3 linked regions of the Oryzias latipes genome follow. The protein of the gene in region 2 purifies or fractionates together with the protein of the main gene of each other region. This does not show direct contact. Links are inferred from orthologs where the notes say so. Each region holds a gene or a part of one and is shown on either strand. Other genes may lie near its edges.

Region 1 (3,718 bases), on a different chromosome or scaffold from region 2:
AAAAATAAAATTTTAGGGGTGTGACGATTCATTTCAACAACGATTTGATTCAATCCATATTTGTGGTTGACAATCCGATACACTGACATAAGATAGATTCAGGATATCTTTAGCCAAAAATTCCACCATCGTGACTCAGAGATAAATAGCATGTTTCATAGAAGTAAGACAACTAGATCAGTTGATGGAGATGCATTTAAAGAGGCTACAATAATAATCAAGATTTCTACACAACACTTGCAACAAGGAAATAGTGCTGAAGATAAATTTAGCAATGAAGACCAGCTGTTTTATAAAGAACATGAGAAGAAGCTAAGGTGAAACTTAACTTGGCACAAAGAAAGAGGAGAGAGACCCTGAGGAGAGAAGTGGTTCCCTGGATACGGAAAAAAAAAAAGGGGGGAAGAAGGGGAGGTATTACGCTGGAATTCCCAAAACGACCAATTCTCAGTGCCAAACAGCACACACAAAAAGTTTTCCTCTAAGAATAGCAAGCCTTTGCGCCCACGTCTTCCATATGGCCCTCAGATTACATCACAAACCCTCTCCTGGATGCAGGGCCCCCCGCTTGCATGTGCACCACAGCTTTATGTTGTGGCTTCACCTGCATTCCTTATGACCGCAGAAAAGCAATCTAAAACAAATCTCTGCTACTTCCACATCAACGCGACAGATTTCGTATTTCAGTGTGCATGGTTAAATGGAGGTATTGCCAAACCTCAATGGGACTGTCTCAGATGATGCCACTCACTTGTTGTGACTTCTTTAATCATCTCGGCTGAAGCATGACATGCGTTGACTATCTGTCTGGTCCACATGGACAGATCCTTAGTGGTTTCAGCTCGGAAAATATGAGTTTCAATGCCGAGTCTGGTGCCAGTCCGAGTGGCGAAGCACAGCTCTGTACCAGAGCGAGGCGATCCCCGATCAGGACCCGACTGGACCAGCCTACACGACAATTTGCACAAAAGCAAGCAGAAGGAAGAATAATTGTTGTTCTGACATTTGAAGCAGTTAACACACTACACAGATCCATAACTTATTTGCACATGGATTACCTACCGTGTTGCTAAAAGTGGAAAAATGTGTGCAGGGTTCTGCCAGGCCTCTTTGCCTCGTGGCAAACAGTCGTACAGTAACAGGTCCTTCTCTGTCATCACCACAAAAACGGGCTTCCAGCACTGCTTCTCGCTCTCCGTCTGTGGCATAAACACACACAAAAAAACAATAAAACAGGAGCTACTGCAGCCATACAATTCAAGTTATAACAATAGGGTTTGCTTAAAAGGACACATTTACAGGGACTAATAACAAACAAAACAACCCCTGTGCCATGTCAGGGGTTAAATGTGTTAAATAAAGTTCCCCTTTGTTTGCCTTGCTTAAGACAAGAGTCAGAAAAATTATTTAAAAGAAAATTCCTTAAAAACCTGCAGAAAACCGCAAAACACAATGGATCAACTTAACTTTAAGCAGCTAGTTTACTCCATTCTTCCCAAATGTGAGGTAAAAACTTCCTTTCCAACAGTTAATCTGTCTCAGCACATTTTCTGTGTGGGTATTCAGCGAGTAAAAGCCTTTATTTTGAGTCCAAAACCAAAATGTCGAGATTCTCTTTTATGTATCCTGCAGGGACTGAGCTAAAATAAAATGTAATTGGTGTGCAAAAGCAGGTACATTCTTTATGTATTCAACCCCCCCCCCCCCCCCCCTTACCCACTCCTCTCTACAACCCTCTCACTAAAGGACACGCACACACCCGCACATCGACACGATTCATGTGAATTTTATGTGACTATGCTCCAGAACGGTTCTCATTATGGTAGATTATCTGCAGCCGAGCCATGGGATCCTAAGCTGCTCTTTGAAGTTCTGTCTCTACCAATCATACTGTGGGATTCGGAGGGTCAAAGGTTACCTTTTTAACATAACATAAGTTATAAGTTGCTAAGTAACACGACAGTATTGTATTTCATGTGGAGGATCAAATATTTGGCAAATTCACTGTGCTTAATTTAGAAAGACGTAGACATGTTTTTGCTCAGGTGGTTGAGTGTAAAAGAGGGGGAAGTTTACTTTTGGCTGTGTGTGTGTGTGTTTGTGCATGTGTGTGCACGCTTCTGTGAATTTTGCATACAAGCACAAAAGCAAGACCGTGTTCTTGACATGCAAAGATAAACATAGGGTTGAAAGGCAAAGGCAGTCTAACGGTAAAAAAAAATCAAAGGGTGTTAAAGCAAACATTTGATGAATTTCACTATAGAATTTTCTGTTTATTTGTTATAGTGGCTAAAACACCACTTTAACGTAGTGCCTGATGTGAATTGCTTGGACAACATTGTCCTGTCTAAACTGAGCAAGCCTGGTTTAATCATTATACTGTACCCTCAAGAGTTTCATCAATGTTGTCAAACCAATAAAGTAGGAAAAAAAGCTGCAGGATTCATAATCTCCATAAGTATGTAAAAAAGGAACAAAACCTATGACCGTTTGCTGGAAAAATAAGCTCATTATGCGACAGATATGCATCACCGCCAACACAATCCCCACAAAAAGGGGGGAAATGTGGCAGCTTCAGGCACACAGTTGTTTTATTTTGTTTCAGATGACTTTATTAAAAATATTGATTATAATTCTTGCACAATTATTCATCTTCCTCCGTTTGTCCCTTTCGGGGTCACGGGGTTGCCGGAGCCTATCCCGGACACTTATGGGCAAAGGCAGGGGACGCCTTAGACAGGGTCACACATATCACATGCACACTCACATTCACACCTATGGACAATTTAGAGTGACCAATTAACCTTTGAAGCATGTTTTTGGATGGAGGGAGGAAGCCGGAGTCCCCGGAGAGAACCCACGCATGCACAGGGAGAACATGCAAACTCCACACAGAAAGGCAGGACTTGAACCAGGGGCCTTCTTGCTGTGAGGCAAGAGCGCTAACCACTGTGCCATCGTGCAGCCTCTTGTGCAATTATAATCAATATTTTAAAAACTTCTGTGACCGCAATAAGTACTGTTATTGGGATTCAAATACAACCCCTTAAAGTATTGCTATGCACATTGGACAGATATCCTAGTTGACAACACAAAGACGCATTCCTACCTTCCCTGCCAGCCAGCCCAGGTGCCGTATCTCTTTGCTGCCAGCGATCCCGGTCCTGGATGTGTTTTGGATGACCTCTGCTAGAACCCTCTGAGTACGGTAACAGTCCACATTATCTTTTGTCAAGCAGAACAATGAAAACAGTTCCTAGAAGCTGAATAATGGCAGCCGACAAATTTAATTCATGCTGATGATGAGATTTTTCTTTACAAAATCGGTCTCAGACCTGCGTCAGCGTTGAGAGGACAGAGTGTATGGCAGCAAACCAGGACAGGGCAGATGGTTGGTCTGGGCACCGCAGCACCACGGTGTGCCTGGCATCAGGAGAATGCAGCTCCAGTTGTCTGGAGGAAAACAAAACAAAACAAGATATTTTACTTCTCAAAGATCAGTAACAAAGTTTCTACGGAAAAGATATTTCAAATGACCAAATATAATCAAATTATGTCATTTAACTCGTATTTTGTCTCAACTAATACTTTTTTCATAACAAATGTATCAATTGAGGCTTTAATTTTTACAGATGCACCAGTTCTTATCCAATATTTTTAGTGAGAAGGATGAACTAAGGTGTTCTAAAATCTGAGATGGTACAAGTAGAGAGTAGGA
Region 2 (3,718 bases):
TTTATGATGAATTACAAGGGCCACATTCTCAATCGCTTGCATGTTTTCAATCTGATTTCAACCTAAACCAGTTTTAAATATTTCCTTTTTCTGAATTATTTGGGGAATATAAGGAGAAATTTAGGCCAACTTATATATTACATTTAGCTAAAATGCACACAAAAAGTTTTCTTCCAAAGCCATGCAAATCAGTATCATCTGCAAAAAAATACCTTTTGTGTATTTAATTAAATTCACATAATTCAAATAAAATATAAAGTTTTACACCCATCGTTTACCCCTATGCAGCGTTGATTTATTTCTACATAAACAGCTGTTTAATTAACTTTTATCGCAGGACTTTATTGTTCTATTTTATGATTTATGATTTTGTTTTTCCATGCTTACCTGCGCTGCCTGTCTGAGAATTGTTGCTGCACTGCTCTCCACCGCTGACCCAGAGTTTCTAACTTGTCTTCAAGCAGCGATCCATCAGGAGATGAAAGCTTTCCAATTATCTGCTTCCCGGTGCGGTTCAGTCCAGAAAGAACCGCCTGATGGCTGGCAAGGCCTTCCTCCAACTCCTAACATGGAAGGCAGAAAGAATAAATTACACCAAATTAATCATTTTTCCTCTCTAATTCAAATCTCTCCAAGCACATTTCTTATTTACACCTCAACATAATTTGCACGCAGCCGATATTTAGGATTCCAAACTGCTACCTTCCACTTTGAGAGATTTAGTGAGCCAGAACAGATGCGTTAAGGTGAATGATTGTGGAGTCCCACACACCGTGAGTCAGCTAATAGATCCCTCAATTCCCCTCGACTCTGATCCGTCGACTGCTTCTTAGTAGCCGTGAAACCCTGTGCGAGTACTGCGGTTAGGAGAGCATCGCAAATCACACTGATGGAGGAGGTCAGCGATGATGCAGCAGCTTCACCGATTTGAACTTCCCACAGCAATCAAAATGCCACTTTAGCAATCAAACAAAACTAAATTAAAAAGTCCCTTCTGATCTCTCCCCGCACTGCTCATCATTTTTGCGCTCTCTAATCGATCGCTTTATGTGTTGAGTGTTTATGAGGTACAGCACAGGGCCCATTTATTTCTCCCCAGAAAATGACAAGCAATCATGGTCTGGATCTACCCATACCTTAAAGTTTTCACTTTGCAGAGAAATGCTTTCAATAAGTAAGAATTTATCAAGACAAATGTGGAAAAAATCTGCATCCCAATAACCAGTAAAATGCATACATTTAAATCCAAACGCTGCACCAGAAAGTACTGACCGCTTGCTGTTGCCGGGCAGATTTCAGGTCCGGCGGTCCATCGGCGCCCATGCCCTCAGACAGAAGCGTCTCTGCATCCGTCAGCCACTGAGAAAGCTCCTTTAAGTCGCAGTGAAACTGTTCCCACTCCTCTACAGCTCGGTCAAAGCTCCTGCAAAACAACATAGATAACTAACATTTCATCCAGATTAGACTAAAAGTATTAACTGTTAAGTTTAAATTAAAAAAAAAGATAATTTCAGGACTTTATAAAATGAACGGTATATTAATGGTTGTGGCATTTACAATTCTATATTTAAAGGGACATTGATAAAGTTTTGTTTTTGCATTTTATATTTTTATTTGGTTTGAATGCCAGAAAAAAAAAAAAGATTGTACATCTTTATTCATGTTAACCTGCATAAATAGGAGCCCTTTGATGTTTGTTTCAAACAAAATAAACAAATGACATTTATAATATTGTAATATCTAGTGACTTATAAAAGAAAAAAATGGGGAAGAAATGTATGATTAACTTTTCTATGCTTCCATTTCTTTTTATGGTCTGTTTTATCCGTTTTTCCTTTACCATTACCATGAAAGAAATCTTGATTGCACACTAAAAAATATAGAAAGAAATAATTTAAAAATTAATGCAAAAAATGAAAGAAAATAAAAAATATCATTTTCAACATATGTTATTCATTGTGCAGAATATCTAGTATTTGTCAAGTTAATAAAAGTGGAAACTGTTTTTTTTTCCTTTTTCTGTAAAACATCGATCCAAGTTCGAATCTGCACCAAATCTCCCATTATTGCGTCTGCATATGAATTATGTCCAGGTACCCTTTGCGATGATTGTACATGCGGTTGAGTCTATCCCACTCTGCGTCAAGCTGTGCCAGAGCGTCCCCGATCTGTGCGGCTTCAGCATGAGAAGCTTCCTGGATGACGTCGGGGTGCCGCTCGTGGATCCCCGTGACCTTATCGCCCAGATTCTCCAGACTCTCCTGGATAATCTAAAAGACGAGCAAACGAAAGTCACTCGACAAAAGTTCATGCAAATTCTACATTTATGTGACATCTTTAGAATAAGGTGTGTTTTAGCAGCTTGTGTTTGTTGCACCTGGAGTGTGTCCTCCTGGCTGGAAAAGTCTTCATAAAGGCCCCCGCTCAGCTCAGAGGAGTTCAGGAGCAACTCATTGTCCGCCATAGCAAGGAGGACTTTATTGATCTCCAACAGGTAGTCTGAGGGAGTCAGAGACGGCGAGCTGCTGAGCCCTGATGCTGACATCTCCTGCATCAAAACAAGAAGAAAAGTTCTTGACGTCCAAAATACTGTGAAAAGAATCTGCACCTGCAAAACCACCAAAAATATTTGACCAAATCCCTCTCAGAAAGACCCAAACCATCCTAAGTAAATACTTGTTTAGTCCCTCACCTGAGCTGACAGCTCTGATGTTCTCTCCTCAAAGTGAGAAGATGGCGCCTCTAAAGGCCCTTTCATCTCAACGAAACGCCGCATCATCAGCTCCTAAAGCCCAAACACAACTCCGTTTTCTTTAGGCTTGTCCTTAACAGGCATTGTTACTTGAGAAAACAACTGAGTCTCACCCTGTGAGCAGAATATTGGCTCTGCAGCCGGAGCAGCATCACCCGCAGCTCCTCCCTCTCGTCTTCTTCTGAGGTTTGCTGCAGCAGTTCTTCTCCTCTTCTTAGCAGTTCTTCCATGTTGGCTTTCTCTGCATCCATCTGAAGGAAGAGGAAAAAGCCGGGTTTAGTTTTTTCAATAAAGCTATTTGAAGCCCGTCTGTTAAAAACATTAAAAAGGAGAAATCTGTTCAAATCTGCAAATATCCAAATCACTGAGGATATAAATTCACACATTTTAGATAAGAAATGCGGTTTGGGAGGTGCAATGACCTCCCTTTGGGTCACTCAACGTTTTTATGTGTTAAACTATAATTTTTTTATCACATAAACTTTGAATAAACTCTAATCTTTAAACATTTACTATAGGAATAGTCTTATCAGATAGCAGCTTTTACTGTATAAACTTTAGTCAAATCTAATAAAACCACAAAAGAAAAAGGAAACACCCAAGTCAAACATTCTTTGCTTCCGTTTAAAGTCCAGGCAAACATTGGAAGAAAGTAAAAACCTTCTCATCATCCTGCAGGTTTACTGTGTCCTGCTGCTGCAGAGTCTGCAGAGTGTCCTGAAGCTCTGCCCGAAGCTCCTTTATTTCAGTTCGGACCACAGTTTTAGGAAGCTGGGGTCTTTCTGCACGGGTCTCCTGTCCAACCTTGAGAAAAGAAGATAAAAATATATTTGTAAAGGCTTATTAGTCATCTTTTTTTTTTGGCAAGCAAAATAAGACTTACTTGTACCAGAAGAGGTTCCTTTGCAGATATCTGAACACCTTCACTCTCAAGACTGGCCATCATCTGAGTCAATACGAAGGAAA
Region 3 (3,718 bases), on a different chromosome or scaffold from region 2:
GCCTGACTGGATTCCACTAATATTCAACTTTTCTTTGTTAAATCAACACTTTTTATCCCTTTGAACTCAAATATATCTTCATAAAGTGGCTCCTATGCTTAAAACATGATTCAAAATAAATTACAAATTAAAAAATAATATATATGTTTTGGAATAAATGCTTAAACATTTGCAAATTAATGGGGGAACAATGTTGTCTCAGAGGTGAAAATGATTGGGAAACGGATTTAAATCCTGAACTGATTTTTAGTTGCTAAACAAACATTATATTATAGTGAAGAATTCCATTTAAATCTTGAGATAAAAAGTTAATGTTTTGCCAATTTTAACTAAATTATCAAGTTTAAAAAAAACATTTTTAAGGCAGTTTAAAATATTTTCCCTTTCTGAAGGATGGTAGAACAGGCAAAAGTGCAGATTTTAGTTTAATAAATGTTTTTCACTGAAAGTAGAGAAAAAAACAAGTTTTGTCGTTTGCACAGAGGGGCAAAATGAAACTAACTGAATAACATTAATCAAGAAAGTCCCTAAAATAAACAACTCCCACCCCTCTGTTCAGTAAATTAACCCAACTTTTGCTCTGTTCCTTGTTTTTGGTCACTTCTATAGCCTCCCTTTGTGGTCACTGCCTTTGGTTTTTTAAATGATCCAATCTAACCTTCATGCAGAGAAAATTTACTTTACTTTAATTACTTTTTAACCCCTCGATATCCATCAATCCACTACTGCTCCAAACTTACCTTCATTTAGGACTCGAAAGAAAAAACAAAAGTGACAATTTTTCTTTCATCGCTGGAAACAGATTCAGGCGTCAAAGGGTTCAACATTTTCCCAGCAGATTCTGACTACCGGTAATCGTTTTGGGGTTTTGCCGCTGCTAAATGCTGAGTTGCCACAGGGGAAGGAGCTGTGTTGTTTTTAGTGTTTTAAAGCAGAAACAAGTGTCAGAAAATGAAGCTTTGATGTGTTTTTCATGCAGTTTTAAGGTCTACTTTCATGTTAACACACTTTAGAGCAGGGGTCCCCAAACTTTTTCCAGCGAGGGCCACATGACGTTTCCGTTCTCGGATCGGGGGCCAGGGTCAGTTTGAAACAGAAAACGTGTGACAGTCGCAGGGGGGCCAAAATGTCAACTGAAAGCCACACATAACCAAATGTTGATAACCCAATCTGATATCAAATAATCCTCTCTGGGTTATTCACCAAATAAATAAATAAATTATAATAATCAGCAAATATATATAATGAGACTCTTTATGAAATCAGTTAAAAAACAGAATTCTTTAAATAAAAAGTCAGGAAATATTAAGCAACAGTATTTTAGATTTTAGAAAATCAATAATAACCAAATAAATCTCTGTGGGTTGTTCAGAAATAAAGTTTCTGTTGTCCATGCACAAATTTAGGTAAATGTTCAACTTCAGTTGTAAGAGCAGAATCTCTTAAAGTTGTTGTGTTCTTTCCCCATAATCCATTTTGGAGTTTTTTTTAGGAGGTTAGTCTAGTAGACACCACTGTATGTTCTCTCTGATCAACTTCCTAGTTTAAATACCTGCATTCTGGATCAGTGTTTCAATTACCTAACCTTTTTGTCATTTATCCATGGGGAGGGGGGGTCCACATTCACGTTTTATGACTGGGGCAAAGTGAGGTTGCAGTAGCCACATTTTTAGCTTGGCTCACATTTCAATTTGAATAACCCTTGTGCTATCCTATGGGGTCCAGATGACCCGAGCCTTACGTTGACGTGTTCTCCCTACCATGACAAAGGTGGATAAAGGTGGAGAGGATTTCATCTAATCCACGGACACCAGTGAAGATCACAAATCATTGAAGCAAAAAGGTTCAGTCTAGTGGATCTAGATGACCCAACTCTCAAAGTTAAAGTGCCTAGGATAGCACAAGGGTTAAGCCTTATCGACGTGAGGAAACAATTCCAAAACGATTCAGTTTTCCACGCTTCCATGAGTCTCGAGCATGTGGCCAGCCTAAAGAAATAATGATGCCAAAATAAATAAAGGGTCTCTCTCTAGTATTGTTCAGGGGGCGGGGTCAAATAGGTGGGCGGGCCGGTTCAGCCTGTGGGCCGTAGTTTGGGGACCCCTGTTTTAGAGAAATTCTTTGCAATACCGACATGTATAATGACAAGAAAATATCAGGATGCTTAAAAAGGCACCAGATCACCTGGTCCTTAACGCACCACATCACTGGGTCTTGTGTGCAAAACATTGCCTGGTCCTAAACGCACCACGGACTGCATCTCACAGAAATGTACCTGCTCAGCCAGCCAGCCGATGTGTTTGAGGTGGGGGTGAGTGGGGGCGGCAGACGACGCCCCCAGGTACGCGTTGATGTGCGCCAGGGTGTGTGGGAGCAGCGCGGCGATGTTGGTGTGGATGGCGGTGAACCAGGAGCTGGCAGAGGGGCCGTCTTTGCAGCGCAGGACCACCGTGTGCTGGCCGTCCGGGGAGTGGAGCTCCAGCAGCCTGAATGCAACCAGAACGAAGGAAGATCTGACACCAAATCCAGCTCTCATTAAGAAAAGAGACACAAGGAAAACTGGTGGCTTGACCAGAATCTCTCATTTTTTACTACTCAACATCAGTAAATCTGTCATATTCTGAAATGAAGTTTGTTTCTGTCCATTCATTTGTTTATTTTTGGACACATTTCCCTCAAATTGAGCATCTTTTTTCTTTGAAATTCATATTTAAAGCATTTTGTCAGTACATTTTCAACATTTTTAATCTTTTCCGTGATTCCTTATTGTACTGATAACCTGATAACCAGGTCTCAAAGAAGGGACAGTTTTCACTTTGAATACAGTCAATAAAAGGGATACTTTTTTTAATTAATTAAAACATATAGGGGAGAGAACAACCAACTCCTTTATGAGTCTTGGGAAAGGTTAATTTCCACCATGACGATTTTTTTCAAGGTGATTTTTTAGGGCAGGCGTATAAAAGCAGACAGGAAACCTAAAATAGAAAGATGAAGAAAGTCTCTTGTGTGCAAATGAACCAAATTCCAGGTTATTGCATTTTTTATGACTAAGGCTTTTCTGCTTCATTATTTAACGGATGACAGATGCTGCTAATGCAGATGTTTTACAGAATGTGACCCATCAGTTTTAGTTCATAGACCGCTGCACAGAGCTCCCTAAAGAGCAAACATTCCAGAGGAATGAACAGGAAATGGCCACAAACCCACCACAAAGACCACACCTAACCTCCCACACGCCCAGGTATGTGTGTGCAGCGCCGGACCTGTTTTCCAAATCCGGCATGGAGAGGTTCCGGCTGATGAAGCACATCTTCAGGCTGATGACCTTCCTGTCTTTGGACGGGGAGGAGGAGCTGCTGTGTTTAGGAGAGCCCGAGTCCTCGCTGCCGCTGTAGCTGGGCGACTGCGGGCGGACGCCGTCCCACGGCAGGTCTGCGACCAGCGACGGTTTCTTGAAGAGCGGAGACACCTCACGAATGTACTTCACTGCGGAGAGAAGGAGACCCATTGATAAAAATTGTGTTTTTGTGGCATTTTTTTGATGATGGAGGCCATATATAAAGAAAATACACTGAAAATGACTTTTCTGAGTATTTTCTTCATGAATCAGGAGCAGAATTTGTGAGAGACCCGCTGGGGGCATTGATTTTCTCAGTGGTTCTGAGAGTTCTGCCATCAAAGCCATGTATTCTTGCTGCCAGGGTCCTGTTTAGAG

Evidence for each region. Proteins that work in one complex are often made in the same cells at the same time.
Region 1: the proteins of utrn (region 2) and sntb1 purify together in Homo sapiens (affinity purification with mass spectrometry; 3 studies listed by BioGRID and IntAct, with this or other methods). This does not show direct contact. The link is inferred for Oryzias latipes from reciprocal best matches to the Homo sapiens genes UTRN and SNTB1.
Region 3: the proteins of utrn (region 2) and sntb2 purify together in Homo sapiens (affinity purification with mass spectrometry; 4 studies listed by BioGRID and IntAct, with this or other methods). This does not show direct contact. The link is inferred for Oryzias latipes from reciprocal best matches to the Homo sapiens genes UTRN and SNTB2.

The regions. Positions count from the first base shown.
Region 1 is NC_019874.2:10,562,643-10,566,360, forward strand, and holds part of sntb1 (beta-1-syntrophin), read right to left. Parts: intron 3,454-3,718; coding exon 3,336-3,453; intron 3,200-3,335; coding exon 3,110-3,199; intron 1,200-3,109; coding exon 1,063-1,199; intron 949-1,062; coding exon 752-948; intron 1-751. UniProt on the Homo sapiens protein: Adapter protein that binds to and probably organizes the subcellular localization of a variety of membrane proteins. May link various receptors to the actin cytoskeleton and the dystrophin glycoprotein complex.
Region 2 is NC_019882.2:8,810,769-8,814,486, forward strand, and holds part of utrn (utrophin), read right to left. Parts: intron 3,699-3,718; coding exon 3,636-3,698; intron 3,557-3,635; coding exon 3,413-3,556; intron 3,004-3,412; coding exon 2,866-3,003; intron 2,786-2,865; coding exon 2,693-2,785; intron 2,549-2,692; coding exon 2,378-2,548; intron 2,271-2,377; coding exon 2,098-2,270; intron 1,424-2,097; coding exon 1,273-1,423; intron 564-1,272; coding exon 388-563; intron 1-387.
Region 3 is NC_019864.2:27,643,418-27,647,135, reverse strand, and holds part of sntb2 (beta-2-syntrophin), read right to left. Parts: intron 3,490-3,718; coding exon 3,267-3,489; intron 2,487-3,266; coding exon 2,276-2,486; intron 1-2,275. UniProt on the Homo sapiens protein: Adapter protein that binds to and probably organizes the subcellular localization of a variety of membrane proteins. May link various receptors to the actin cytoskeleton and the dystrophin glycoprotein complex.